Linked DNA regions of Ovis aries. The protein of the gene in region 1 interacts with the protein of each later gene in a pairwise test. Links are inferred from orthologs where the notes say so. Each region holds a gene or a part of one and is shown on either strand. Other genes may lie near its edges. The genes, in order: STAM2, ENTREP1, LITAF, RNF11, DAZAP2, ARRDC3 and PLEKHB2.

Evidence for each region.
Region 2: the proteins of STAM2 (region 1) and ENTREP1 interact in a two-hybrid assay, tested with the Homo sapiens proteins (2 studies listed by BioGRID and IntAct). The two-hybrid records come from large-scale screens. The link is inferred for Ovis aries from reciprocal best matches to the Homo sapiens genes STAM2 and ENTREP1.
Region 3: the proteins of STAM2 (region 1) and LITAF interact in a two-hybrid assay, tested with the Homo sapiens proteins (4 studies listed by BioGRID and IntAct). The two-hybrid records come from large-scale screens. The link is inferred for Ovis aries from reciprocal best matches to the Homo sapiens genes STAM2 and LITAF.
Region 4: the proteins of STAM2 (region 1) and RNF11 interact in binary tests that used the Homo sapiens proteins (3 or more experiments, as listed by UniProt). The link is inferred for Ovis aries from reciprocal best matches to the Homo sapiens genes STAM2 and RNF11.
Region 5: the proteins of STAM2 (region 1) and DAZAP2 interact in binary tests that used the Homo sapiens proteins (3 or more experiments, as listed by UniProt). The two-hybrid records come from large-scale screens. The link is inferred for Ovis aries from reciprocal best matches to the Homo sapiens genes STAM2 and DAZAP2.
Region 6: the proteins of STAM2 (region 1) and ARRDC3 interact in binary tests that used the Homo sapiens proteins (3 or more experiments, as listed by UniProt). The two-hybrid records come from large-scale screens. The link is inferred for Ovis aries from reciprocal best matches to the Homo sapiens genes STAM2 and ARRDC3.
Region 7: the proteins of STAM2 (region 1) and PLEKHB2 interact in binary tests that used the Homo sapiens proteins (3 or more experiments, as listed by UniProt). The two-hybrid records come from large-scale screens. The link is inferred for Ovis aries from reciprocal best matches to the Homo sapiens genes STAM2 and PLEKHB2.

The regions. Positions count from the first base shown.
Region 1 is NC_056055.1:157,423,470-157,427,609, forward strand, and holds the start of STAM2 (signal transducing adapter molecule 2), read left to right. Parts: upstream 1-1,297; 5' UTR 1,298-1,392; coding exon 1,393-1,432; intron 1,433-4,140.
Region 2 is NC_056055.1:67,369,075-67,373,441, forward strand, and holds the start of ENTREP1 (endosomal transmembrane epsin interactor 1), read right to left. Parts: upstream 2,870-4,367; 5' UTR 2,786-2,869; coding exon 2,381-2,785; intron 1-2,380. UniProt on the Homo sapiens protein: Functions as an activator of the E3 ubiquitin protein ligase ITCH in the ubiquitination of the CXCL12-activated CXCR4 receptor. Thereby, triggers CXCR4 endocytosis and desensitization, negatively regulating the CXCL12/CXCR4 signaling pathway.
Region 3 is NC_056077.1:10,789,306-10,793,569, forward strand, and holds the start of LITAF (lipopolysaccharide-induced tumor necrosis factor-alpha factor), read right to left. Parts: upstream 2,844-4,264; 5' UTR 2,682-2,843; intron 1-2,681.
Region 4 is NC_056054.1:25,684,557-25,688,636, reverse strand, and holds the start of RNF11 (RING finger protein 11), read right to left. Parts: upstream 2,931-4,080; 5' UTR 2,443-2,930; coding exon 2,320-2,442; intron 1-2,319. UniProt on the Homo sapiens protein: Essential component of a ubiquitin-editing protein complex, comprising also TNFAIP3, ITCH and TAX1BP1, that ensures the transient nature of inflammatory signaling pathways. Promotes the association of TNFAIP3 to RIPK1 after TNF stimulation.
Region 5 is NC_056056.1:134,989,176-134,993,327, forward strand, and holds the start of DAZAP2 (DAZ-associated protein 2), read right to left. Parts: upstream 2,859-4,152; 5' UTR 2,777-2,858; coding exon 2,764-2,776; intron 1,762-2,763; coding exon 1,643-1,761; intron 1,229-1,642; coding exon 983-1,228; intron 67-982; coding exon 1-66. UniProt on the Homo sapiens protein: In unstressed cells, promotes SIAH1-mediated polyubiquitination and degradation of the serine/threonine-protein kinase HIPK2, probably by acting as a loading factor that potentiates complex formation between HIPK2 and ubiquitin ligase SIAH1.
Region 6 is NC_056058.1:88,494,297-88,497,947, forward strand, and holds part of ARRDC3 (arrestin domain-containing protein 3), read right to left. Parts: exon of another isoform or gene 3,557-3,651; intron 2,342-3,556; coding exon of another isoform or gene 2,260-2,341; intron 2,162-2,259; coding exon 2,080-2,161; intron 201-2,079; coding exon 53-200; intron 1-52. UniProt on the Homo sapiens protein: Adapter protein that plays a role in regulating cell-surface expression of adrenergic receptors and probably also other G protein-coupled receptors.
Region 7 is NC_056055.1:114,957,360-114,960,162, reverse strand, and holds part of PLEKHB2 (pleckstrin homology domain-containing family B member 2), read right to left. Parts: intron 647-2,803; coding exon 510-646; coding exon of another isoform or gene 455-509; 3' UTR 1-454. UniProt on the Homo sapiens protein: Involved in retrograde transport of recycling endosomes.

The DNA.
Region 1 (4,140 bases):
CCAACTCTGAGACACCATGGACTATAGCTTGTTAGGATCCTCTCTTCATGGTATCTCCCAGGATACTGAAGTGAATTGCCATTTCCTCCTCCAGAGGATTTTCCCAACCCAGGGATGGAATCTACGTTTCTCCCGTATTCCAGGCGGGTTCTTAACCACCGAGCCACCAGTAAAGTCCCAAGACATACTAGGAATTTTTTATATATTAATAATTTATTGGCCCTAATATATTATGATATATATTATTTTGAACGGCGGTGTTGGAGAAGACGCTTGAGAGTCCCTTGAACTGCAAGAAGTTCCAACCAGTCCATCCTAAAGGAAATCAGTCCTAAATATTCACTGGAAGGACTGATGCTGAAGCTGAAAATCCAATACTTTGACCACCTGATGCGAAGAACTGACTCATTGGAAAAGACCTTGATGCTGGGAAAGATTGAAGGCAGGAGGAGAAAGGGATGACAGAGCAAGAGATGATTGGATGGCATCACCGACTCCATGGACAGGAGTTTGAGTAAACTCCGGGAGTTGGTGATGGACAGGGAAGCCTGGCGTGCTGCAGTTCATGGGGTCGCAGAGTCGGACACGACTGAGCGATTGAACTAAATTGAGTCCAGCAGTATTCTCATGGCAAGACCACGATGGAAAGAGAAAAGACAGGAGTCGGCACAGAGCCATTGTTACTTCGGCCGCTGCTTCTAGGGTGGTTATTCCCGAGGGGTTTAGGCGCCGGAGAGTGCCGCCCTGCAAGCGCTATGGGCGGAACCAAACCCTTGGCCGACTCTGCGCTACCAAGGCTCCTTCCGTTTCCAAGGCAACGGGACTGTGACGCGAACGCAGCCGCGGCCCCAAAGCCGTGTGGCACCACAGCTTAGAAAGGAACCAATTTGGAGAGAGCTTGGTCGTCTGAACCCGCAGCCCTAGGCTGAGAACCCCGGACGACCGTACCCTTAGAAAAGCTGCCTCCGGCAGTGCAACTTCCGGGCCTCTGGCTTCGCCCAGTCCCAGGCGCGACGACTTCCGGCCGCGAAGGTCCCCTGCTCCGTGGCTTGCCCGGGTCCTAGCCATGGACAGGTGGCCGCGGCGGCTGCCTAACCCCTATTGGAACTTCGGACTAGGGCTGCCGCCTCCTCCGCGCGGGCGGCGGACACAGGAGCGCTGAGAAGATGCCCGCGGCTGGCGGGACCTCTCCCCGGGAGGAGAGTTGAGGGCGGAGCGCGGACCGGGAGCTGGCCCATCAGGCGGGATCCGGGCAGATGCGGTGGCGGAAGTGCTGGGACGTGGTCGGGGCCGAGCTAGACGTCTAGGAAGCCGCCGCGGCGGGTCCTCCAGCCCCGAGCAGCTGCCGAGCCTCTGCGTGACCGCAGCGACGAAGGCTCGGGCGCCGGCGAGATGCCTCTGTTCACCGCCAACCCCTTCGAGCAAGATGTGGGTAAGTGCTGGGCCCGGCCCTGGGCCGTTGTTTGTTGTGTTAGAAAGTGGGCGGTGGCGACTCTGGGAACTGGAAAGCCTAGGAAAGGGGGCGGCGCCGCCGCTCATAGGCATCCAGGAATTTTTTTGAGAGGGTGGGCAGCCTCGGCGCGTCCTCAGCGGCCTGGGGCATGTCTCCAGCCCACCTGAGGTTGGGGACCTCGAACAAGGACCATTCCTCTCGTCAAACTCAGGAATAGGGAGGAGCCTGGGGCTCTCTGGAGACTTCACTAATTGAGCAATTACGGAGTTGATGACACAAACTTTCAGCTCCCACTAGAGCTGGTTGAGTCTGGTGTCCCCCGGCCCTGCAGCCCCCTGCCCCGTGCTTAGGAAATGGTGCAGCAGACGCTGATGTGTAAGGCACTCAACACTTAGAGACTTAAAGTTGTTCCTGTTCAGTAGAAGGGAGGTGTTTTACCTCGCTTATATCCAGATGCGTCCAAGCCGTGATAGCAACTATTTACGGTAGTTGGAAGTGTTACTCTACCCATGGATGGCGCAAGTGCTATAAGGTGTTCTGTCTTTTATGAAAAGGAAAACCCCAAGATTTCAGAATAGTCCAGAACACCTGATATTTTACTTGTTGAGGGGTCGTCAGTGATTATGGAGCGAGATAATTAGGTTATGAAAAAGAAACCGCCAAGATTTCAGAACAATCCAGAACACCTGATGTTTTACTTGTTGAGAGGTTTTCAGTGATTATAGAGTGAGAAAAAGATGAACTGGGTATGAGAACTTACTTGTGGCATTAGAAAAGCAGTAACTGAAGCTGACTAAAGTAAATATTGATATTTTTGTAGCAGCAGTTAACTGTAGATACAGTTTTAGGATTTAGTGTAATGAAATGCATGGCTGAAAATTGCCAGTCATACTGAATATTGCACATCACAGAATATTGCACCTGTTTCATAGTTACAATTTTCTGACTATGGGAAAAGTCTAGAAAGTGCCCTGTTGTGGTTTGTGATTTCAAAAGTGCTTATTCAAAAGTCTAATAAGTATTTTCTATTTCCAGAGAGCTAGAAAATATTATATGTTTTGACCCTTTTGGTTTTCAAGTATGTAATTCCATAATTTCATTCAGCTTTTCTCTTGGTAGTTTAACATTGGTGACTGTTATAAATCTCGGAAGCATCACGTTGAGGCTCACAACCTCTGCCTTTGGAGTACCTAATGATGTCTTCTTCCTTGCAGTGAGACCTACACTTTTTATTGTTGTTGTGAAGACTTTTGTTTTGTCACAGTTTTAAAAAAGAAAAAAGCAAACTAGAATAAGACAAGTGATTTTCAAACTTAAAAATTGTGGAACTCTTCAAGGGAGATTTTTCATGGAAGCCTATTGTTTTCTGATTGAAAACTTCTCTAGTGAAAGTAAGCCTAGTTGCTTTTCTAAACCTTCCCCTCAGTGGCTCCTGAGGTTCCAACATGGTTTAGTAGATCATAGTTTAGTACTGCTGTAATAAAAGAAGCACTGCCCTTCAGACAAAAAAACAAAACAGAACAAAACCATGTATAGATTATTTAATGGGCAGTGCCATCAGCCAAAGCTTCAGGTACTTATTTGTTAACTTAAGTATGACTGACTGGAAGTCAGTATCCAAAAGACAGTTTAAAAATAAAATAGAAAGCTTGATTGTAAACTTCTTTTAGGCAAGTGGTTGGAATTAATAGAGAAAATGGTATGATTTAGGATTTCACATTGACTTTATATCTCTATCATAGAAGGAAAATTACATATTGCTCTTTGAAAGCTTAAAGCTTTCTTTAATTTGAAAGTAAAGTAATATGACACGCAAGTCATTATTTAACTTGCGATGTCCACAGGAATGTTCCTTTGCAATGTCATTGTCCTTTTCACCTGCTGTCTTTGATTCAGTCAGATTTTTATTACCATTGTTTCTTTTTTGTCATTGCTTTGTTTACCTTTCATTTAACAAATAGGCATTGAGTGATTACTGTGCACCAGAAATTGTGTTAAGTTCTGGGGACACAAATTTAATAAACAGACTATGTTCCCTCAAGCAACTCTCTTTCTAATGGTGGATTCGTACACATATAAAAAGATAATTGTAGGGACTTCCCTGGTGGATAAGAATCTGCCTGCAAATGCAGGAGATACAGGTTTGATCTCTGGTCCAGGAAGGTTCCACATGTGATGGAGAAGCTAATCCTGTGTGCTACAACTACTGAGCTTGTGCTCTAGAGCCTGCGAGCTGCAACTCCTGCAACAAGAGAAGCCACCACAAATGAGAAGCCCATGCGCCACAAGGAAGCGTAGCCCCCACTCTCCACCACTAGACAAAGCCCACAAACAGCAACGAAAGACCCAGAGCAGCGAAAAAGAAATAAAAATTTTTTTTAAAAAATTGTAATACAATGTGAAAAATACAATATTAGAAATATAGGCAATGCTTTATATTTTCCCTCTATTTACAGCAGTCATTTTCCCTGAAAAGAAGGCAAGGACCTCAGGCATACATTTTATCTGTACCAGTGTTGACACTAGCCTCTCTCTCTCCCTGCTTTCCTGACAGTACTTAAACCTGCAGGGAGTAACCACCTCTTACCATGTGTATGATATGGTCATTTTATAATTAACTGAAAGTTGAAACTACCTTCCTTTGGTTGGTACAGTCTCATCAGAGGATGCACAGTCTTTCTGATAGC
Region 2 (4,367 bases), about 90 Mb from region 1:
CACTGTACAGTTTTTTAATAAATTTAAATTTTTACATAAAGAAGAGTTTAAAAAAAAATGCCTCTCACACACATAAATTCAAAAGGTATGCTACTCCTGAAACTCTTGTCCTGCAACAGAGTTATGGGCCTTAAGGCCATTCTCAAATCCTATTCCGTTGTTCCGGACATGCAGTATCTGTTGGTTCTGTTGTCACTGCAAATTCTGAAGACAACCTCAGAAACAGGCCACAAAAAATAACAGTTGCAAATTTCATATAGAGTTGGGGGGCACAGGTGGAAAAAGGACCCTATAGAAGAGACTTAGTTCCAAATCACTGATTCTTTCCCTGCTCTGGTTTGCTGGGTCCTGGGGACAAGAACATGCCCAGCCAGCAGGCCCAAACTAGTAGCCTTTACCATCTGATGCACACGTGTGTGCTAAGTTGCTTCAGTCATGTCCGACTCTTTGTAACCCTATGGTCTGTGGCCCACCAGGTTCCTTTGTCCATGATATTCTCCAGGCAAGAATACTGGAGTGGTTAGTTCATCAAATCTAACCATGGCTCAACTGACATCTGAAATGCATTTACCTCTGATATAATTCACAGGAGTACACTGATTTAGGGGATTAATTTTAGGAGAGAAAAAATAGTTTTCAGTAATCCTGAACTAGTTATCTTTGACAAGACAAGAGATTATGATTTTACAAAGAGCAAATCCCTAAAATGTATGCAAGAGTCACTTCTGGCCCAGGGTATTTAGAGAAATTAAATGCACCCATCATTTGGCTGAATTTAGGCTGACAAGTGGACTAAGGAGTAAGACAGAGCCAACCCCTACCTACCCTGTTGAGAATATTCCTCCTCGTGAAGTTTTAAAGAACTCCCAGAAGCCTGTTGGAGAGCCCAAGGGCAGGGCTAGAAGTGGGGATTTCTTTTATATGTTGCACAGATTGTGAATTCCACCCACCATAGCACAGGCCGTACCAGCATCAAAATAAGGAGAACAAACTGGCATCAGTTTAAGCATAAAAACCAAGCCAGGCTCTACATACCTAATTTTCTTACAGTTCTTATTCAAACAATTACTTTGGGTTCAATTCGTTCTCCCTATAATCTTAAAAGTCTTTGGTTCCCATGTGGCTCCTTGATAAAGAATCCACCTGCTAATGCAGAATGCAGGAGACCCTGATTGGATCCTTGGGTGGGGAATATTCCCTGGAGGAGGAAATGGCAACCCACTCCAGTATTCTTGCCTAGGAAATCCCAAGGACAGAGGAACCTAGTGGGCTATAGTCCATGGGGCTGCAAAGAGGTTGACAGGAGTGAGCACCAACCACCGCCATATTCTTAAATCTGGTCTTGAAAGTGGGTTTGTGTGGACTTGCAAGGACCACCCAATGTTTTTAGGTAGCCTACATTTATTACAGATCTCAGTAAGAACTATAGGCATTGCCAGGCTTTTAGATTTAATTTAGAGAAAGATTGTTTGCTTTACATATTCATCTTCCACAATCACTTCACGAAGATCTGTTTCCAAGTCTCTCAGTCCCCAACAAACCTCAAGACACTGGTTGCCTTGGAAGTTGTGAACTCTTTTGGAGGCAGAGATGCTCCAGGGCAGCAGACCTTTTGCCCCGCATCAGCCTTCTCTGTTGGAGGCGCCAGTCCGGTAGGGCCAGTGGCAGAGCCGGGTAGACATCTCCAAGCTCTCCACATGATGGCTTCCTGTTCTCAAGAATTAAATTCTGCCTAGCAGTTTGTGTGGCTCCAGGAACCCAGTGCGGGCCTAGGGCCCTCCTTTAACGACCAAGTACACGGCGAGTTAACACACTGTTATTACCTCTTGAGCTCGTCCCCAAACACAGTGGAGTTACTTTACACCAGACACTTCATGTTTCCGTTTGCCTCAGTGCAGAATAAAATAAGTGACATGCCCCAACCTGTCACTTCATCCATCCCACAAATACCCCTGCCGTGTGCCTGGTACTGCTGATAAACTGGTGAACAAAATAGATCGAGAGCCTTGCGGACTCTGTTAGCGAAATAAACACTCAATGGCTGAAAGAAGAAGTTTACTCATTTTCTTCCCGCCTTTTTTTTTTTTTTTTTGCCACCGACCCCCATTCTTCTAGTCTCGCCAGGGGCTGGAAATCAAGTTTATCCCATTAGTTTGACAGGAATAACAAAACCCTTTAGCCTACATGGAATAGACACCGTCCAGGTGCAACCCAATTCACCATGGACCTCCACCCTCTCAACGGCCCAAAAACTTCGACCGGTCTGAGAGGTTCTCCTCCCCAAGTGCAGCCCTAGGACGCTCAATCACGAGGCAGAGGAGGGAACCGGCCCTAGATCCCTGCTCCCGCGGTGAGCGGGGCGCGCGCGCGCGGCACTCACCGAGGAGCCGGCCCAGAACGGGCACGAGTTCTTCACCTGCGGGGAGCTGCTCAGCGACAGTGCCCCAAAGCTGAGTGCCACCATGCAGCAGCCCAGGATCAGCTGCAGCAGACCGAGCGACAACAGCAGGCGAGCGGGCAGCAGCGCGGAGCCCGGAGCCCCGGCGGCGGCAGCGGCCCGGCGGGAAGAGAGTGCAGGCGGCGCGGCCAGCACCCCGGCGGCGGTAGCCCCGCAGCGAGGCCGCGCCGGGGGCTGCAGCGCAGCCCGGGGCCAGCGCGGCCGTAGTGGGGGCAGCGGCGGCTCCTGGGCGGCGGCGGCCGCGGCGCCCGGGCCCCCGGCCTGCGGCCCGCCGGAGAGCCCGGCCACCGGGCAGCAGGAGCCCGGGAGCACCACAGGCAGGGACATGGACAAACGGGGAAGGAGCGGCCGGTGGCAGCGGGGAGCGGGCGCGGAGCTGAGCCGCCGGCGCCAGGCTCTGAGCACGCGGGCGGGCTCGGACGCGGAGGGGGCGGGAAGAAAATGCGCACGGCCCAACCACTTGCTGCCGCAGCCGCCGCCCCGGCTCCCGCCGGCCGCACCCACCTGCCAGCCGGCGGGTCGGCCTCCGGCCTCCCGGGCGCGCCCCACTCCCACACCCCGCCCCCGACACCACGCACGCCCTGAGGTCCCGCCGCGCAGCGCCTGCACCCTTTGGGGCCCCGCCAAACCGGCGCTCTCTCCCGGGGCTCCAGAAGAGGTGCCCCAGTTTTAAAACAGGTTCCCTCGGGCTAGGAGGGAACTGCGGACTGGGCGCGGAGGTACCGACAGCCGCCAAGCTGGGGCGCAACAGGAGCGCCGCAGGCGCGCTGGGGCCCCTCGCCCCTTTCCGGTCCAGCCGCGAGCGCGACTCTGGCGACCTTTCATACGAAGGGAGCCCGGCTTTAAACTTTTCCCCGGCCTAGGGGAAGGATGACAGGAAGAGAGCTGTGGGTGACTTGGGAAAAGTCTAAGCCTCAGGGTTTCGGGAAAGGACGACGCAGAGCAAAGTCACCGTTCGCGTGGGGCTTCCCGGCGCTGACTGCTCTGCAGCCCCTCCGCCTGGGAAGTTGGGAGGTGGGGAATGAGGGGTATGGGTGCTTTCCTGGCACCAGCGTAGGAGTGGGCAGGAGGCCAAAGTTTCCTTGGAAGTATCCGGCATCCAGAAAGAGAACCAACGGCCTGGAGCGCTGGCAAGGGTTACATACACTCTGTGGCCGTCTCACGCTGACTCCTGAGCTGTGTTAGGCATCATCTGGTAGAACACAGAATCCCAGACTTTCAGAGAAACGGCCTCATAAAATTCTAATCTGTTTTTGGTAATTTATAAAATATATTTAGAACTTAAAAAGAAATGATTTGCCTTTGTAAAATTTCATTTCCTAATGGTAGGAATTCTTATGTATTGAAAGTGTTCTTATACATAAAATGATTATGATAGAATTTTTTCAGGTTAAGAACCAGAGCACTGTCACTCTGCAGAAAGTCAGTCTCAGTATTAGGTGAGTAATAAGTAAGGGGAGGGTATTTTATATCCTCCTGCCCACTAAACCAAAGGAAACATGTATCTGTTTTTATGCTCTGCTTACAAAGGCTGTATTTATTTCGTTCATTACTTACTGTAACTCACAATGTAATGCACTGCCAATGTGCATGTGGGTCTACATGTACACTTTTTGAATTATTAAAGCACCTGTGATTCATAGTCTCAAGGACTTCTTTTACAAACTCCTCTTGGAAATAAACGTCAAATCCCGGAAAAAAAAAGGAGTTGTCTTTTAAAATAAACGTTTGAAGTATGTGATCTCATGGACTTTAAAACATCTTATGGTAGGTATTCTTAAATTGCAAGTAATGTTAAATTGAGTTTCTCATGTGCCAGATTATACATTTTAATTTATGCACAAGCTTAAAGGTATTCAGTTTTTAACATTCTACTACATTGTGTAATGTAAAAAAGTCTGAGTCTTGA
Region 3 (4,264 bases), on another chromosome or scaffold:
GGATCTCGGTGAATTAACTTCCTACCTACTAGGTAAACAGGGAGTTGCCACTGAGACACCCGTGATATTTACTTTCTTCTGTCCAGGCCCTAAGTCTTATGAAAGTACACACAGTTCTTCACAGAAATAATCTGCAGTCAGAAGACAAATTCATTGGCCACAAAAGTGTTATCCCGACTGCCCTGAGCCCCAGCGCAGGTGCAAACAGTAAGATGAAATTGTGAGGACCCAGGAAAGTACCACTTAGAGCTCAACCCCGATGAGTTAAGGAAGGCTACTTGCTTGGTGAGACGGACCACACTGCCCAGTGAGCTATTTTCATTGCAGTAAAAGCACAAACAAATAGAAGACAGGTCACAGTGTCAAAACTCTAAGACTTCGAGTCATGGAACTCATTTTTTTCCACCATCACTGTAGCTGGGGTTGATTCATTTTCAGCAGGAGAATTTTAAGTCCTTGATGGGCATACTCCCATTCTCAGAGTGGCACCATAGCACTGCCAGTCGTGGGTAAAAGCAAGGAAGCATGCCCTGTCTATCTCCTTGAAAATAAACTTGGGCTGGAAATGCCTTCCAGTTCCTTTGCTCTCAGTGGCTTCTCTTTTACTGTCCTCAACTATGGGCTAGCCTGCACTTCCTCCAAAGCTTTGCTGAGCCTCTTCTGCTTATTTGGAATACATGTACCTTCTATGACATGTATTCTCAGGTCTCTGCTTTCCTATGAAATTTTCCCTGACTTGTAGTTCACTCCTTTCCATTTCTTTCAATCCTTCCAGAGTAAAGGGCATTGCTGAGCACTGACTATCCACCTGTGTTTTTTTCCACTTTCCACTGCAGCATAAACCCCTCAGAACATAGAGACATTTCTTCTGTGTCCTTTACAAGGCTAGAGTAGCATTTTATTTCCCCACAACCATCCAGTAAAAGGGACTAAAGGAACAAAGGAAAGTTTACTCACCAGAGACAGTGAAATGACTTCAATCTAGTATTTAGAGACTTAAGAAATTGATCCTCCATCTCAGATCAATCAGTGAGTCACTTAATCCACAAAAACATTACAATGAGGATACTTTCACAAATGTGAATAAAAGCATCTATTATTCATGCCTTCAAGTAACAGGAAAGGGGGAAGATGGGCCCCTCCCATCGTAGATCTACAATAGACGTTTCTTAGAGAGTCTGGGGCACCTTTAAACCCCAGTGCAAGGCCTGGTTGAGGTAAGTCAGGAGCAGCATGGGTATTATTCTACGTCAGGTAGAGCCAAGTCCTGCTTGCAGGCCTCCTCCAAGTCAACTTCGATAAAACCAAACAGTCTGGTGGAGTCCCAGATACCAGCTCACGCTGGACACCACATCCAGGTGAGTCTCACTGTAAGAGTCAATCAGAGATGGCTTGGGCAGGGCCAGGGGGCGGGGTGGGGGGTAAGAAGATAGGGGAGGCAGTCAAGCACACACTAATGCAAACCACATCTTTCCTTAAAAGGGCCCCAGGGGAACTGCAGGGCCAACCTGCCTTCCAGACAGCCCTTGAACCAGCACCAGCTCACCCAGCCAAGGGCTTATTCCCCTTGGGAAGATGGGTGGGCGAGTCTTACTCTGATGCACTAAGATGGGAAGGCCCTGTGCCTTCCAGAATTTGGATTTCCCAGCCACCAAAGCTCAGTCCGACATGCAATGACATCAGCCCCACTTATCGGCAGCACAAAAGCCACCAGACAACTAATCAAAGACCAGCCGGCCTGATCCCTGGAATGCACAGCCGGTCCAGAATTGCCCATTTCCCCATCACCTCCTGTCCTGACCTTGATGAAGGGTTTCTGGCATAACAATGACTCCACTGCCCAGATCACAGTGACCTGGAAACCAAAGAGAAAGAGGCCACCTACCTAGCTGGGCGTGGAGGGCCAATGTCCACCTTGCCGGCCTGTGCCACTGGCATGTATCTGGCAGCGGCAGTGGACGGGGTCCCGGCCGACCCCTGCGCTCACAGGGTGCCTACCTTACCCGCTCCCCCCCCCCACAACCCCTCCCCGCGAGGGGTCTAGCCAGGGCCCTGGCTCCGTTTGCTCTGTGTCCGGAATTTTTATCTCTCGTGGGCTCCCTAGGCCCGCCGGTGTCCGCCGAGAGCGGTCCTGAATACTATGGGGAACCCCCTGGAGCGGGGGATGGCGGGGAAAAGCAGATATCGTGGACCCCAGAAGTCGAATTTCTGGGACCGGCGTCGGAAATCTGTTGGGCTTTTTTTGTTTGGTTGGTTGGTTTTGTTTCTGAATAGCCGTGCGATAATAAGTCTGGAAACTTCAACTTTGAGAGAGCAGCTACCAAGCGAGACGAAACTTTCTTGAAAAGCTTCGGGGTGTCCTCTCCCGAGGAGGAGACCCCCGCGAGCAACACGGGGCGCGCTTTCAGGTGAGGGCGGGATGACCCCACCGCGCGCGATCCGCGGGCGATCGGCTCACTTCGGGGAGCAGGAACGGGACCCTGCCTGGACTGCGGCGGGAACAAGCGCCAAGTGACTGGAAGCCCGGCCTCCCCGGCCCCGCGTGGAAGATCGCGGCGGGACTCCGACGCCCTCCAACCACTTCGAACCCCGGGGACCCGCCAGGGTTCCGGGACACCGCCACCACTCCCGCGGAGTCCGGAGCTGGTGCTGGCGCCGCACCGACCCCGCTCTCCAGCCACCACCAGCTCGACGCTCCGCGGATCAGCACCCCGGTCGCTGCCTCCTCCCGTCGGCGACCCCAGCCCGCGCCCCCGCCGCCAGCCAACGCGCTCCTCACTCACCGCCGCGCGCGCCGCCAGTCGAGCCGGGAGGTCTGAGCAGATGGAGCTGGGGGGCGGACTGGCTGGAAGACGGCGGGGAGGAGCGCCTGAAGGCGGGGGGCGGGAGCTGGACCGGCCGGGGCGGGGCGCTCCGGCTCCCGCTTCCGGCTTGTCCCCGCCTCTATGCGCCGCCTGGACCCGATCCTTCCCACTCGCGGGGGGCCGCCTCCCCCAAGCTAGAAACCCCATCAGGGACCTGCGACCCTCTGGCTTCTACCCTTCCCCTCCACCGCTCCGATCTCCCGCTACCCTCGGAACACCCCCTTGACACCCCTAGACCCCGCTCACTCCCTGGAACCCCCTAGTTTCAGCCCAGACCCCACTCTCAGAGAGTGTCTCCCCTTTCGGGTTCTGCTCCTGCTCGTGGATCCGCGCCACGTGCCCGCACAACCTTGAACTCCCCTCCTGATTTCCATTCCCACTCTGCTCTCCCCTGCGCCCCTGGGTCCCCATCTTCGGCATTTGTTCTCCTTCCCGGTTCTCAGACAATGCTGATCACCTCCAGATCCCTTGCCAAGGCATCCAGCGCTCCCTGCCCTCCGGAAGTCGGCCCTTTTCTCCCCATACCTCAATTCTGTGCATTCAGATGCATCCAGGCAACCCAAGAAAATCTATGTGCCTTTGGCCATGTGCCCACTTGCTCTGGCCTCAGTCTCCTGTCTGTAACATGGGCATAACAGTACCTGTCTCGTAAGATCCACAGAGATTTAGCTGAACAATGCAAGCAAAGCGTTCAGCACAGATTGTGCTAAATTAAACCTATCCTAGCTGCTAACTCGCAGAAGGCAATGGCACCCCACTCCAGTACTCTTGCCTGGAAAATCCCATGGACGGAGGAGCCTGGCAGGCTGCAGTCCACCGAGTCGCTAAGAGTCAGACACGACTGAGGGACTTCACTTTCACTTTTCACTTTCATGCATTGGAGAAGGAAATGGCAACCCGATCCAGTGTTCTTGCCTGGAGAATCCCAGGGATGGTGGAGCCTGGTGGGCTGCCGTCTCTGGGGTCTCACAGAGTCGGACACAACTGAAGCAACTTAGGAGCAGCAGCAGCTGCTAACTATTGGACTGGTCAAAAAGTTCATTCAGGTTTTCCCTAAGATGAAACAAAAACCCAAATGAATTGTTTGGCCAACCCAATACTTTGCATGCACCCAGGGTGTCCTGTGGCCCCTGCTACTTTCTCACTCAATCACTGAAAGCTCTGGAAATGAGTAACTACTATTTCAGTTCAGTTCAGTTCAGTTCAGTCGCTCAGTCGTGTCCGACTTTTTGCGACCCCATGAATTGCAGCACGCCAGGCCTCCCTGTCCATCCCCAACTCCCGGAGTTCACTCAAACTCAGGTCCATAGAGTCGGTGATGCCATCCAGCCATCTCATCCTCTGTCGTCCCCTTCTCCTCCTGCCCCCACTATATCAACATCCATCAACTCACTGCCCCT
Region 4 (4,080 bases), on another chromosome or scaffold:
AATTACTTTCTTCAAATTGATACCAAAGTTGCCTATCAGTATCTGGGTTGTTCATTTCAGGAAAAGGAAACCACGAAAAACTCCCATTGTCACAAACATTTCAAAAAGACCTTTCTACCTGATACCAAAAAAACCCTCTCTTTATTATCTTATCCTCCTGGAAAAGGCAAATATTGAATACAATCTCCATAAATTCTAAAGAAGTTATTCTTAACAATGTATAAGATATACATGTATTTAAGAGAAAGAGTACAATAAGTTGAAGGTATTTTACTTGCTTATAAGAGGACTAAGGAATATAGGAGATTCTGAAATAAAAACTCGTACCTCTAAAAAATTTTTTTCATGAAATGGAAATAAGCACATTGTCCTATAAACATTTATGAAGGAAATCAAGAGTGAAATTTGAAGGAAAGTAAGAGTGAAACAATTTACTTGCTTCAAAGACTCAGGAAAGCACTTAGATTTGGTTTGGATTTTTAAAGAGACTTCTCCTGTGACAATTCTTTGGAAGAAATGGGTGTGTAAACTTACATAACAATACTCCATTTAAATTCATTAATTCACTCAACATTTAAGTGTTCATGAGCCAGAAACTGCACTAAGCACTGGCGGGTAGTCCCTGTTCTCAAGGGCTTAGAGTTTTCCCTTATTCCAGTTACTGAGCAACTACTATGAAGCCAGATGTTGAGGATACAACAAACAGGAAACAGAGTTCCTACCTGCATTCAGCTTATACTGGAGAAGGAGGGAAATGCCTCAAGAATGAGACACACATCTAACTTAACAAGGACAACATATAAGTGTTATATGCGTTGCTTTTGAAAGTGCAGACACTTCCTTCAGGGGAGACACAAAGAAGGGAGTGATTGATTCAGGGCGAAAGGGAGGGGAATTTAGGAACTTCAGATACAGCTCAGCTGAGTCCTCAAAGAGGATTACACGCTCACCTGCTGACCTTGGGGGAAGGGTTCCAGAGAGAGCAATTGGAACTAAGGCAGAGAGGTGTGAATAAGCTGTTGTGTTTGACAGGCCTGGAATATGAATGTGAGGGATAAATCATGGAGTCTTCTGTAAGCCACATGAAAAGACTGGACTTTACCAGCATATATGAAAGGCCCCTGATGGGTTTTATTCAGAAAACCAGCATTTGTGATCAGGTTTTTCTGGTGTGGTGAGACACTGATTAACATAGGAATGAGAAAAGAATAACACTAGATAATGATGTCACCACATGAAACAACAAAGGAGACTGCCCAGTTAGAAAATTAAACCCCAATCAGGAAAAAAAATTAAGCCACTTAACTATCCAAGTCCTTCTGGTAAAGTTTTTAATCAACATCTTGAAATAGTAGAGGAAAGGTTTATATATATATTATGGATTATAACATCTACCTATCTATTTTGAGTTTTCTAAAGAGGGCTTCAGCTCTTTACAAATCGTGTAAAGACATCTGGAGCTGCTGACTGCTGCACAAAAAGCAGTGAAGTCATTTAGAAGACAAGTCTTTGATACACACGGAGAAACCATGAGTAACAGAAGGTATTTCTCAAGTAAGGTTTAAAGGTTTCCAAAGTTCAAGATAATCAAGTTCTCTAAATCAGCGCGTTTAAAAGGTGTGTCACAGGGGTGGAGCAAAAAGAGGAGGGGTTCAGAATTAATACTGTTGTTGCTGTTCAGTCGCTAAGCTGACTCCTACAATTAGTATAAACACACACACACACATAAATATGTATACATATATATGTAAAGAAGCAACTCCATGTTGCTGGAACCAAAATCACTACTTGAAAATCTCCCAAGCACAGGAAGAAATGAACGCCTACTAAATTCAATGAATACAGACAGACGAGAGGGAGGAGAGGAGGATCACACTTTAAAGTATAAATGGGATGTATGTGTGGTGGGGTGGGGTAGTGGGGGGAGGTTAACCACTTATCCAGAACCCATAATCCAGCCGGTGATGAGGAAATCACCTTCGAACCTCACAATGCACATATAAAGGCATGAAAATATCACTTCCGAACTCCACAATCTAGCCACCAGTCACTGGCCAAGGGGATATAGTCACACACTCGAATCCCAGAACTCAAGGACAGAAGTATCCCCACACTGCTCGAAGGGAGGTGAAGGATTCCCCCTACACTGACGATGGGATCAATCACACTTAAACCCAGCCCTAAGGGGGTCCAGTGCCTCTCAGGCCGGGTGTTGCCGAGGCCAGGGACAGTGACAGACAGCCCCGAAGCCCCCACAATCTCCGCCAGAGCCGCCTCTACTCCTCGCACCCCCCTTCCCCAACACACACCCTCCCCTACCTGATATGGCGGCGGCGGCTCCTGATCCGGCTCCGTCCCCTCGCCAAAGCTGGCCCGGTCGGACTGAGACTCGTGAAGCAGGGAGATGTCATCCGAAGTGGGGGACTTGAGGCAGTTCCCCATCTTCTGGAGCTGGGGTGTGTGATCTGGGGGAGGAAGAAAGCAGTGGCGGGGTCGTTCGCACGCTCCGCGGTCAGCCTCGGTCAGCGAGGTGGGGTCGGGCGGCAGGCCGGGGTTCAGGCGGCAGCGGCTCCCCCGGCCCCCGGCGCCGCCGAAGGGCAGCTCATGCCAGTCCCTGGGGCTGGGGGCTTAAGGCTGGGCCGCGGGTTTCCCGGGGTCGCGGCGGTTGCCTCCTGAGGCGGCGGCAGTGGGGGGGGGGGGCGGGGAGACGAAGCACTTCCCCACCCCGCCCCCCCGCGGGGCGGCGGCGGCCACGGAGCTGCTGGGCCTAATCCAGGTCAGGAGTGGGGGGGCGCAGCCGTCGCGGCTCCCTCAGCTGCTGCCTCAGCTGCTACTGCTGGCCCCGCCGACGCCGGAGCCGCAGCCGCGGGCCTCATCCTACTCCGCTTCGCAGCGGCGGCGGCGGCCAGAACGAGGCCAGCTGCGGCCCTGCGTCACGCCGCCGTGCGTGCCCTGGTCCCGCCCCCGGCGCTGGGAGGCGTGGGTAGCTCCGGCTGTGCTCCCTGCTCCTTTGCCACCCCCCTGCCCCTCCCCCGTCCCCAGCAGCTGTTTCTGGGGCTGCGTCAGTTTCTGCTTCTCTGACAGCCTGGGACGCGATTCCGATACCTCTTTTGGGTCTTCGGTTCCTCCCCACGCGCTCTGCTCCCTCTTCGCTTGTCTCAGCTCTTAACTGTGCGTTGTTTTGACAGTCTTCTGGCCACCTTCTGCCAAGTAATCCATTTTAAAACCCATATCTGAATGGATTACTCCCATGACTAAAATATTAAAATATTCTATCCCTTCAGAATAAAGTCCAAACTCACTACCTCCCCAGTCACTTTGCAATCCTCCTACATCACAGTCAGAAGAATTCTTCAACCGATTATTCTATTTATTTCTATTCTTACCACCATAGTACAAGCTACCGTCATTTCTCTGCTGTAATACTTTGAACTATTTCCCCTGCGTTCGCCATTGCCCCCATTCAATTTACTATTTGTACAGTTATCTTTTTAAAATGTAAATCTGATCAGGTCATTCCTGTAGGAGGAATTTAAGCCTTTTAAAACATTCATTAAAAACTTCCCAATACTGTTATGACTGAAGTATTAATTCTTAAATGGTTTACAAATCTGGCTACCTCCCCAGTCTCATTTGTGGCCTTGTTCCCTCACATATTCTAATCTTTAGGATGTCTGAATAGTTTTCAGTTATCTAGAAGACTATTCCCTCTGGCTGAGGTCTTTACCTATGATGTTTCTCTGACATAAACTCACTTCTCCCCACTCCTGAGCTTATACCTTCCATCAAACTATATCCACACTTGTCCTTCTTGGACTCAACTTTGATTCCACTGGGAAGCCTGTCCTCTAACCCTCCTGTCTGGGTTAGTTACCTCCTCTGTGCTCATAGTCCCTGAGCACTCAGTTCCTGAGTCCCTGTGAGTCTCTATCACAGCCAGATCAAGCTGAATCTGCCCCTCCTCTGTACAAAGACCTGGCACATTGCCTGAGGCAGAATAGCCTTTCTTCTTAACCGAAATAACAAAGAGTTCAAGAGGCAATGTATGTAGAGGGAGGAAATAAGAAAGATGAGAATGCT
Region 5 (4,152 bases), on another chromosome or scaffold:
GAGGACATTGGCTCCCTGCATGACTGCCAGCTGAGCAGCATTGGGAGGGCATCCAGGGGGAGGAGGCTGAAAGGAAAAGACAAGGTTGATTGGGCAGAGGGCAGCTATGGGAGGGAAGTGGACAAAGGTGAAAAAGGACCAATCAGGAAGATGGCAGTGTGCTAACCAGCGGCATCTCAAAGAGCTATCTGGGCCACCAATCTGAGTCCAGCAGGTCTACATTCTTTGTAAGGCCAAAGATATAAACAGGAAACCCACTCATTTAAAGGGTTCTGGATCCAAAATAAAGCCTATGGATACCTTCTAAGTGTGGGAAGTCCAGACTTGGCATTTTCAGTGCAGAAAATCACTCCTATTCACATCCCAAAACGGAGCGGGTACCAGGTCCAGGGACTTATATCACAGGGCCTGACAGTTTTCAAATGGCCCTGGATAATCTGAAGGCTCTACCTGATGACAGCATTTTCACTTCATCCCTAGCCTATGGTTATTGAGTAGATGGTCCTAGCAAGGACCATATGGGCTCTAATTCCCATACATAGGGGAACTAATCAAGAGACATTGCTAAAATCCCTAGTATCTCTCTAAATGCAATTTAATAGGGATTATGCATTGTTTTTTTAATCGTCATGGTTCCTAATACGATGCCATGCTGATGGCACATATAAATAAATGCTTATGGAATGAATGAGGAGTGTTACTAAACTAGTATCAAAGTGAACTGGAAAAGCAGCAGGCAGGACTCCTAAGACAGGAAAACAAAGGAATCTGATAAATTCTAACATCAGTGAGTACGCCAGATGTTACTGACTGGCCACGGTTCTCCTGCCCCTTTGAGTGCTTTCTGCCTGACTACTGGACGTCAGTGATTATTACACCAATACCAGCAACTATTACCCAGGGATGATGAAAGGATGACCAGTCATTTCAGAAAGTTAAAATACACAAGGGTCGAGCTTTTTTGTGACCAAGTCATACTCACAGGAATGTTTCCGGCAGTAGCGCCAGCTCCAAATCTGGCCCCTGTATCATACCCTCCTTCCACCAGCACTGTTGAACCAGGTGGATAGATGGGACCAACTGGATAATAAGCCATGGGGATTGTGGAACCTAAAGGTCCAACAGCCACAGACTGGGCCATGGGAAGATACAGTGAGGCGCCAGGAAATGCAGCTGACATGGTGGGGACGGTGGCAGCCCCCGGGTGCACAAAGCTCGGACGATAGAGCTAGAAGAGGCAGAAGAGAAGGCAATAAGTTACTTCATGACATTCCTATTTCAGATCTCAATTTAATGAGTCAAGTCTTAATTCTCCTTGTGCAGATTACACTCTTTGAGTTACACAAGTTGCCTTTCCACTGCCACTCAATATTCTCCTGGATCACTTCCTGCTATAGCTAATGTTAGGCTCAGGGAATGCAAACTCATCTTCTTAACTTCAGCCAGTGCCAAATAACATAAAACAATCAGATAATGCCTTCTCAAACCCAAAAGAAATGGCTGAACTATGTCACGTTTTAAGATGATTCATGTGAGCACTCTCTTCTGTTTGTGGAAAGTAAATAAATGTGTGGAGCCAGACTTGGCCAAGGACCGAAAACATGATCCAAGAGTATTCCATTATTAAGTTAACTGGAAGCACCTCTGAGTAGGCAGGTGGAGCATCAGTATAGGGTGGAGCCTGAGGAAGATGCAAGGTCTGAGGGTACACAGGGTTCCCAGGAGGCTGCACAGGGTAAGTTGGCTGCGTTGGATATTGACCTGGAAGACAAGGGGGGAAAAAAAGCATGTTGTCTACCATACAGTCACCAAAACAAAGCAGGGCATATTGGGTAGCTAATCTAGCTGGGATAAGCAAAAAGAGATTTCCAAACAGACTGCCCTAGAGGGCCTGATTCCTGGAGCCAAGAAAATAAGCATTCTCGTTGCACCCTTAAAGCTGAAGAAGCTGGATTCCAACTGGACATCCAGTAGCCGACTGCTGTAAGGGGAAAGTCTAGCTGGGCCCAAGATCCTCTCAGAACGCAGGGCAGTTCTGGGCATCCCCTCTAGCCGGTATTTCAACGGTGTGTCCTGTCTCCCTGTCCTGCGTGGTCTCCAAAGGTCTGGTTGTAACTGACCAAGACCTCGTGAGTAACGGTGGTTGTGGTCATCGACCTCACAGGTTCCTACTCAAGGTCGACTTCCAAATGAAAAGAGTGAGTGGTGGAAGTGAATGCTGAGATCGTGGAGGGGGCTGAAGGGAATGTTCTGACACAGAAACCGGGAGACTTTCTGGCCGCCAGCGAGGGTAAGGGGGAAGAGACCCCCTTCGGGCCCGACTGGCCCGCCCACCAGAGCGGCACTTTACTAGTTAAGCCCGGAGGCCTGCCTGTGGTTCCGGAGCGCGGCGCCCCGCCTCTGCCAGTTCTCCATTGGCCTACCCAAATCTCGCCTCCAGCTCCCCATTTGCTCCTACAGATGCCCATCACGACAAACCTTCTCCCCACCCCCCCAACCCACCCACCCAACAGCCCCCCCCCAACCCGAGTCCGCAGCTCCAAACTGCGCCACAGAGTTTAAGGGAGAAAGGGCCGTGAGGGAGCGAACGGCCGTAGTTCGGGAATGACGAAGGTGTCTGGCGCAGCCCCGGGCACTGCAGCTGGCTCAGGAGCGCGGCGCACCTCGCCCCAGGCCTGGCGTTCGGTGACCCTGGGCTCCGGGCCCGCTCGTTCCGGGCCAGCACTAGTCCCCCCGGCGGCCTCAGCCACCCCCTATCCTTGCCTTTGCTGTTCATGGTGGCTGCGGGTCCGGCTCGGCTCGGCGTCGCGGACGGTTATTTTTTTCGTCCTCTTCCTGTTCGTAGTCACTTCCGTGTCACGTGACGATCTGTCCGCCTAGCGTCACCCGACGCCCGAGTGCCGCTGCCACCGGAAACCCCGCCCCTTCGCCCGGCCGCCGGTTGCAGGAGGGAGGGCCCGCGTGATCCCGTCCGCTCGCGTAGGCCCCGCCCACCGGGTCTGGTCCTCCAACCCCTACCCTTGTCCCTCGGCTGAAGGAAAACCAAATACAGGTATTGTCTCAAAACGGGATCTTCTCTCTCTTGAACGCTCGGAGGCAGTAACATTAAACTATTCTCTGGAACCTTTTTCCACCTACGTTCAGCACCTCAAGGTCACCTCACCTTGACAGCCTTTCTACAAGGGGCATGCATGCTTGCTAAGTCTCATCGGTCGAGTCCGACTCTGTGCGACTCTGTCCATGAGATTCTCCAGGCAAGAATACTGGAGTGGGTTGCCATTTCCCATGGACCGAACCGGAAACTAACACACACACACACACACACACGGGACATAGATTCCTACACACACACACACACACACACACACACACACACACGGGACATAGATTTCTACAATCTTACCTAACTGCCTGAGATGCTTCGCAACCCTTGATCTATCTCTCGTTCCCCTCACTCAAGTCTTCACTGCCTTTCTATTCTACCGATAGGCTGTCGGTGTTTTATTTCTGTGTCGCTTTCTCACCGACAGAAAGGGTATGCTGTGCTGTGCCCCGCCCCACCCCGCTGCAACAGCTAGCACTAAAACGCATGTTCTTGGTACCCAAGGAGTACCCATGCCCTGGCCCTTACTTTGATACCTGTCACAGACACCTGTATGGTACCTGATAGGTATTTTCTCTGTGTATCCCTTCTCTTCTAACTTAATCGTTCTTAAGAGCAAAGATGCCATCCTTTAAGGCAACAATTGCTTCCATTCTTTAAGATATTTGCTGAACGCTTGCTGTGTTCAGGTACAGAGATGGAGCTGAACAAGACAGCCCAAGGCTATTTTCTCATGGTTTACATTCTGTAGTGTAGGAAGAACATTAGAAAAGCATCTGAAAAGAAAGCTTTGAAAAGAAAAACCCTCGGTAAACATTAGCAACCTGATCCATATTTGCTGTTGAATGACTTAAACCACTGAAAAGACCAGTACTCACTTCATCAGCAGTCCGCTGTTTTTCTCTCCAGTGTCAAATTACAGTTTGCAGGACACCATTAATATGCATGATTTTATGGAGTCATCACAGATCTTCACAACAGCCCTGTGTGGCAGGCAGGGCTTGTTTAAGCATTTCTGTTTTTCAAATGAGAGATTTGCCCTAAGTCAC
Region 6 (3,651 bases), on another chromosome or scaffold:
TTTAGTATGCATGTGCCAAAAACAGAGAATGAAGAATTCAGTCAATTCTTACCAGTAATGAAGGAGTGTTGATATCTATATGCTCAAAGACTGTAAATTCCTTCTTTAATTTTACTGGTAGAAGCCAAGGCCTGTGCAATTCGGCTTTCACCCAATAGCGCACACTGCCATGTCGGCCTTCGAATGAGGTAGCAAGTGGTCTGTGCAGAATATAAAGATCATATATTAATCTTACACCTCTGTTTAATTAATTATACAGTAGGTCAGCATAGAAGTGTTAATATATTATATGTTTATACACCAATGAGGTATCGAAGGTGTAATTTATATTTCCAAAGGGAGAAATCATGGGGGGGGGGGGGAACCTTCCAAATAATAAAATAGATAATTGTCAAATAGTGCAGAAATTTGGTTAAAAAAAGCCAGACGAATACAATTGCTTTAAACTAAGAAGAGGCTACTTTTAATGCTGGTGGCAAAATTATCAAAGTCTGGAAATGAACAGTTTTTGAAAAGGTCAAGACTTTAGTTTAAAAATAAAATTAAGAATGGTTTAACTATTTCTCTTGAGAAATTCTAGACTCTGGTTAAACATTCAGACCAAACTCCCTATGGTGCTCCATTTTTCATTAGCTAAAAATTACTATTTCCTATTATAGCAACTAATTAAGATCCAGAAAAGGTCTGGAATAGTCATTATGGCTTCAAAAGCTTTTTACATTTCATTAAGTCCACTAATCTCTTAAAAAATGCTTTCCATTTCCTAATTTTGGCCATGTTTTCTAACTACATTATAGACTTAAAAAGAAGGAGAATTTCTTCTGTTGACCTGTTATCAAAAGAATCAGAATTCTTCTCAACTCTGATTTTATTATTTGTGGAAGATTTTATTTTAGTGTATTTAGTCTCCTTTTCATAATTTCATCAGAAAAATGCACAAGGTTCATTTATTTACAAGGTAGAGTGCTAGTTTTTTTGAGGAGTAGCGGTGTTTACTTTTTGTTTTACATTTTAGACTTCTGCTTAATTTGTATAGCACAGAGAAATAAAATGCAGGATCTATTCAAGACTTCTACAGTTTATTTTAAATGACTGTGGCTTATTGAAAGAATTAAAATATATATTTATATTAAATTACCTTCATCCTTTGAAAATATTCAGGCCCAACTGTATTAGCCCTATTGTATTTACAAACTTAAAATATTTCTCTTAGAAAGTAATTAGGGTATTATATTAAAAATGTTCTTAAGCAATATGATACTCTGAAAAATACTCCTTATGAACTCTATCCATATATAATAAGTACTAGAATTAAAGAACACAGAATTATGTACATTTGGCACTTGACAAAATCTTCTGTAATGCAAGTTTATCTTTCAGAACAAACATTACAAGTACCACTTTGCATGCTTTAATATCTGTTAAGGCATTATTTTAAAAACTGCTTTTTGTATAATTTCCTCTAATACATAATTATTACATTATGAATATTTTACTTTCCTTCTTCCTTTCATACTATATTCCAGGCCTTACATTAAGATATCTGATTGACATTTCCTTTTAAGTCTAGGTCGCAATATCTCTTGTGTGACATTCTCAATAGCTCCTTGCACAGAAGCTAATGAATTCATATCATAAACACACAGTACTTCTAAAATTAGGATATTCCTAATTATTTTTACCTTCTTAGTGTTGGTTAAGCATCAGTAGAAAGGACAGAACACTTAACTTTTATAAACTACTAAATGACAGACTTGATATGATCTTTTTTCCAGCTAATGCTGATGGTGAACTATTAGGTGCTTACCATTTGACTAGCACCTTCCAATTCATTCACTTTAAATGAAATACTTTTAAACATCATACAAATCCTGAGACAGAGTATTAAGAATTGAGATTTGCTTTCTATAATTTTGCCACTCTAGATTAAAAAATAGCTTTTTTTTAGTATATTGTTTTCCTCTAGCAAGTTTCAGTAATGAAAAGGGTTTTTTTAAACTAAAAATATTTAAATATACAATGTTTCATTTTAAAAGAAAGGATGTTTATTTGAAAAACGCCTGTTAACAAAATACTTACGTCTGTGGAAGCTCGAAGCTGAATGCATATTCATGCCTTCCTGAATGAACAGTGTTGAAGCCTTCTTCCGAATTATCGTCATCTAAAACAGAAAACAAAAAATTTATTAATAAACCTTCACACTCTCTTCACGATGTCAGAACTTAAAAGATGCTCACATAGTTAAATAAGGCCACAAACTTTGGAGTGTGAGAGATCTGAACTCTAATTCCAACTTCATCACTTCTGGGTAAAATAAAACTCCTGTCTTCAGCTGGTTCATCTGTAGAATGGGGATAATTAATATTTATACCCCATAAGTGATTTTTTTAATGGAAAACAACCTAAACTGCAAAGCATCTTCAGCTAACATCCTACAGGCTAAGACTCAGACCTCAAATCTCATACTAAGATGTTACCTTTGTCTTCAACCATTTACTTAAATTTATCCTAATAAGCCTACATATAAAATGAAAACTATTCACGTAAACCTTTAAAAAAATATCAGTTTTGATACGGAAAATATGAATGTGAAAACTCAAACGATTAGAAAACTGCTAAGTAGATGTTGGGAGTTAAAAAAAAAAAAAGGAACAGTGATTTTAATGTCGGTTTCATAGTCAAAAATAAAAATTGTTACTGAACCTAAAATTATGACCTCAGTCTAATAGCTAAAAATTCACATATATATGATGTACCTTAGACTTAAAATGTGCCTGCTTAACGGGAAAAAACAGGTCATACATCCTTGAAAAATGAAGATAAGGATGTTCCCCAGTGCTAGGGAAAAAACAGGATGACCTTTGATTTTACATCCAATTTCTTTTGATGAAATAGGTTATTTTTCAAACTATCTAAAAAAAAAAAAAACCCTCAGGGAAATACGGGAGGGGGTTCTGGATTCTTGACATGCTTTTCTGAAGCGTTCTAACTAGGTAATTTAATTACATAAATGTCTACTAACGCAGCTTCCTCGGTGTAGAAACCTTTATCATTAAATAGGCTGTCAGAAACGGGTATTATCATTTAACTTTCCCTCAAAAAAGTAATAAATACACACACAAAAAATGATGCTTCCCTCAGAGGGGGGAAAAAAAGATGCCTATATGTGGATACCTTTTATTCAATAACCATCACGACTCAGTCTTGTCACCATTATTTTGTTCTTCTCCCCCCACCCCCGTGCAAATTCTCTCTCCTGGATTTCGGCCCTGAAAGCGGCTGATGAGTTGGGGGACATTTAAAACCGCTCCCTCCTGAAGGCGCCCAAAGTTTGCCTCCCTGTCTCTCCTTTTCTTCCCTTCTCGCTCCCTTTTTGTGCCAGCTCAGCAGTCTCATTGAGGCGAGCGGCGGCGGCGGCCGCGCCGTGGTAAACAAGTGCCGGGCTGTCAATCAAGAACTAGACCGGAGCAGGAGAGGACCGGCCTAAACCGGCGCGAGCAGATCCCAGCCGGCCCGCCCGCGCGCCGCCGCCGCCCGCGCGCCCCGCTATACATACGGCATATGTCGCGCGGCGCTCGCACTCGCGCTCGCACAGCCTAGCCTGCTGGCGGCGGGAGGGGGCGGGGCCAGGGCGCCGCAGCGCTTCCGCTT
Region 7 (2,803 bases), about 42 Mb from region 1:
CAGAGGCTGTGGGATATCACACTGCTGCCTAAGGAAGGTTCCAGCCTATTAACTCCTGAAGTAACATGCAGCCAGTTCTGGTCTGAGGTTTCAAAGTCCGATATTAAACCAAAAAAACTGCAGCTTTTCTCGCCACGGTCACTCACTCACTCATACATCACCCATGTTACCAGCAAAACACTAAAATAAATTATCCCTTAAGAAGTAAGATCTAACTCTAAAAAGAAAATGGCCTTTCAAAACGGGTGTGTTCAAATAAAGCATTGAGAGAGTTTTATAAGGAAACCCCTCAAATGAGCCAGTGCTGCCATAGAGTCCACATTTTAGCTAAACAGCAGTCCAAAGCTTTCTCTGCAGTACTTCTATGTACTTATAAGCATTTTGTCACTACTTTCAAAAGAACTATTAAACCTATTACTAAAAACATTTATAACAAACAGAAATGCCCTGCAAATCATATTATTGCACACGGGGTTTCAGAAGCTATGCACACCGAGGTTCCATGGACTCTAGAAGACCCAGAACAGAGACCCCAGGGCCATGCCTGTGGCTGCTCCGGCCAGCATGCCCAGCGCCAGGTCGCTATCGTTGTCTCGGTACCGCTCACGAATGATGACTTGGTTGGCAGGCTGCTGTCCATAAAGCCCTGGAAAAGAAGGAAAGAACAGACTCCTGAGGAGCAGTTTGTGAAGCTCAACACTCACTCAAAACGAGAGCTCATTTGCCTGGGACCCTTCCTGAGGTTTCTCCATGCACAGCACTCTTCCTACAGACTCGTCTCCCTCAGAGAGCTGGGCGTGGGGGGGGGAGGTGACTTTGGTGAGCGCTCCCCAGCTCTCCTTCACCACAGATGAAGGGGACTCGGCTTGGCCGAGTGAGGGGGACACTCCGTATCTAAGATGGAACTAAGAGAAAATCAAGATGCTCAGTTTCCCAAGGTCCACAGTCCCGGACACTACAGAGAGCAGAATCGTAATGAAGTTGCAAACCCCAGCCCACAACGTCTGCTTTAGCCCCCACAGTGTTCATCAGGATGGCAGGCAGACCAGGAACACAGGAGACACACAGAGCCTAGAGACTGTGGGAAAGCCAAGGATCCCCATCCAGAAGCTAAACAGCTTCTTAGTATTCATGGAAACGATATGTAAATTAAATTAAACCTTAAATCTGCTAACATAATCCGCTCTTCATTTTTAATGTTATGCCTTTATGGAGAAAAATATTTGTCAAAGGTAAAACATCTAAAAAACAAACTTTAAACAAATTTAAACTTAGCTGCACAATTAAAGTTCTCAACTGGAAATGTTTTCTTCTATATTTCACAATATGTTGTCCAAAAGCTAGTTAGCTTTAAAATTGTTCCCACAGGACTTCCCTGGTGGCGCAGTGGATAAGAATCCACCTGCCAATGCAGGGGACACAGGTTCGATCCCCAGACCAGGAGGAGCCCACACTCCAGAGCCCACAAGCCACAACTACTGAGCCTGCAGGCCGTAGAGCCTGTGCTCTACAACAAGAGAAGAGCCCCCAGTCTCTGCAACTAGAAAAAGCCCACATGAAACCACGAAGACCCAGCACAACTGGAGATAAATTTCCTCACATACAGTGCTAACGTTCCTCCTTAACCCATTATTCTCTTAACAGTTCAACCCTAGGAAAGTGAGAAATTGATCCAATAGTGATACGTCCATAAAGAATGAAGATACTAAATGATAAGTGCTTACCAGTCTAAGCACTTTCAGTATTACAAGCATTTATATGTACAGACTCACTTAATCCTCACAACAATCCTTGCAGCTGAGCTTACTGTTACCCTATTCTATAAACAGGGAAAGAGAGAGGTGCATGGGGCCTGAGCACACTGGGTGCAAGCCAACCCAGGCGCTCTGGCTACAGTGCGCACTCAGACACCAATGCCCCTAATACGATGAAGGAAAGAGAAGCATCAAAGCCACAGGGCAGGAAAATGCGACCATTACAAACCTAGAGTCGTCAGGCAATAACATTAGAAGCAAAGATTTTTTTTTAATGTAATATTTAAACTACATAACTGGTGAACTGTGGCATTCAGAATCACAGCCTTGAAATTTTAAAAATTTCAACTAGGCAACTCCAATTAGTAACATGTAATACAGCAGGACCCTATAGCTGACCTAATTTAAAGACCCCTGGAAAATCTAAATCTGCATTCCAGCTTTAGCTCCACAGAAGGACCCCCTCACTCCATGACCAGGAGCCAACTTCTCCTACAGCTCATCTCTGTTCCTACCAAAAGCTAAGTCTTTACCAAAGTCAGCTGGGGAACATTTCCAAACTGTACTCATTTTAATCATCTAATTTAATCTTTACATAAATGATCCAACCATGAATGTAGAAAAGGAAGATACTGTTAGATATTTTAAGAACAACTAAGTCAGATACTTTTCAGCTTCCCTGGTGGCTCATATGGTAAAGAATCCGCTTGCAATGCAAGAGACCTTGGTTCGATTCCTGGGTTGGGAAGATCCTGGAAAGACTAAATAAAGGCAGATAACTTTTACAAATTACTATCAAACTAAGAAATTGAGAATTACAAAATCTAGAGGTGTTCTCTCAGACTTGGCCCTGGAAACTGCAGAGCAATTACGTGTCATGAGTACCATCTCAACAAGACAGAAACAGAGGACTCCAACTAAAGGAGCCAATTCAAACCAAAGACCTCAAGCTCACATCAATAGACAACTGAACAAATGTCTACTAGTGTGGGAAAATTAAAACAGAATACTTACAGTGTGTACACAGCACTTTTTAAACTGGTTGACTG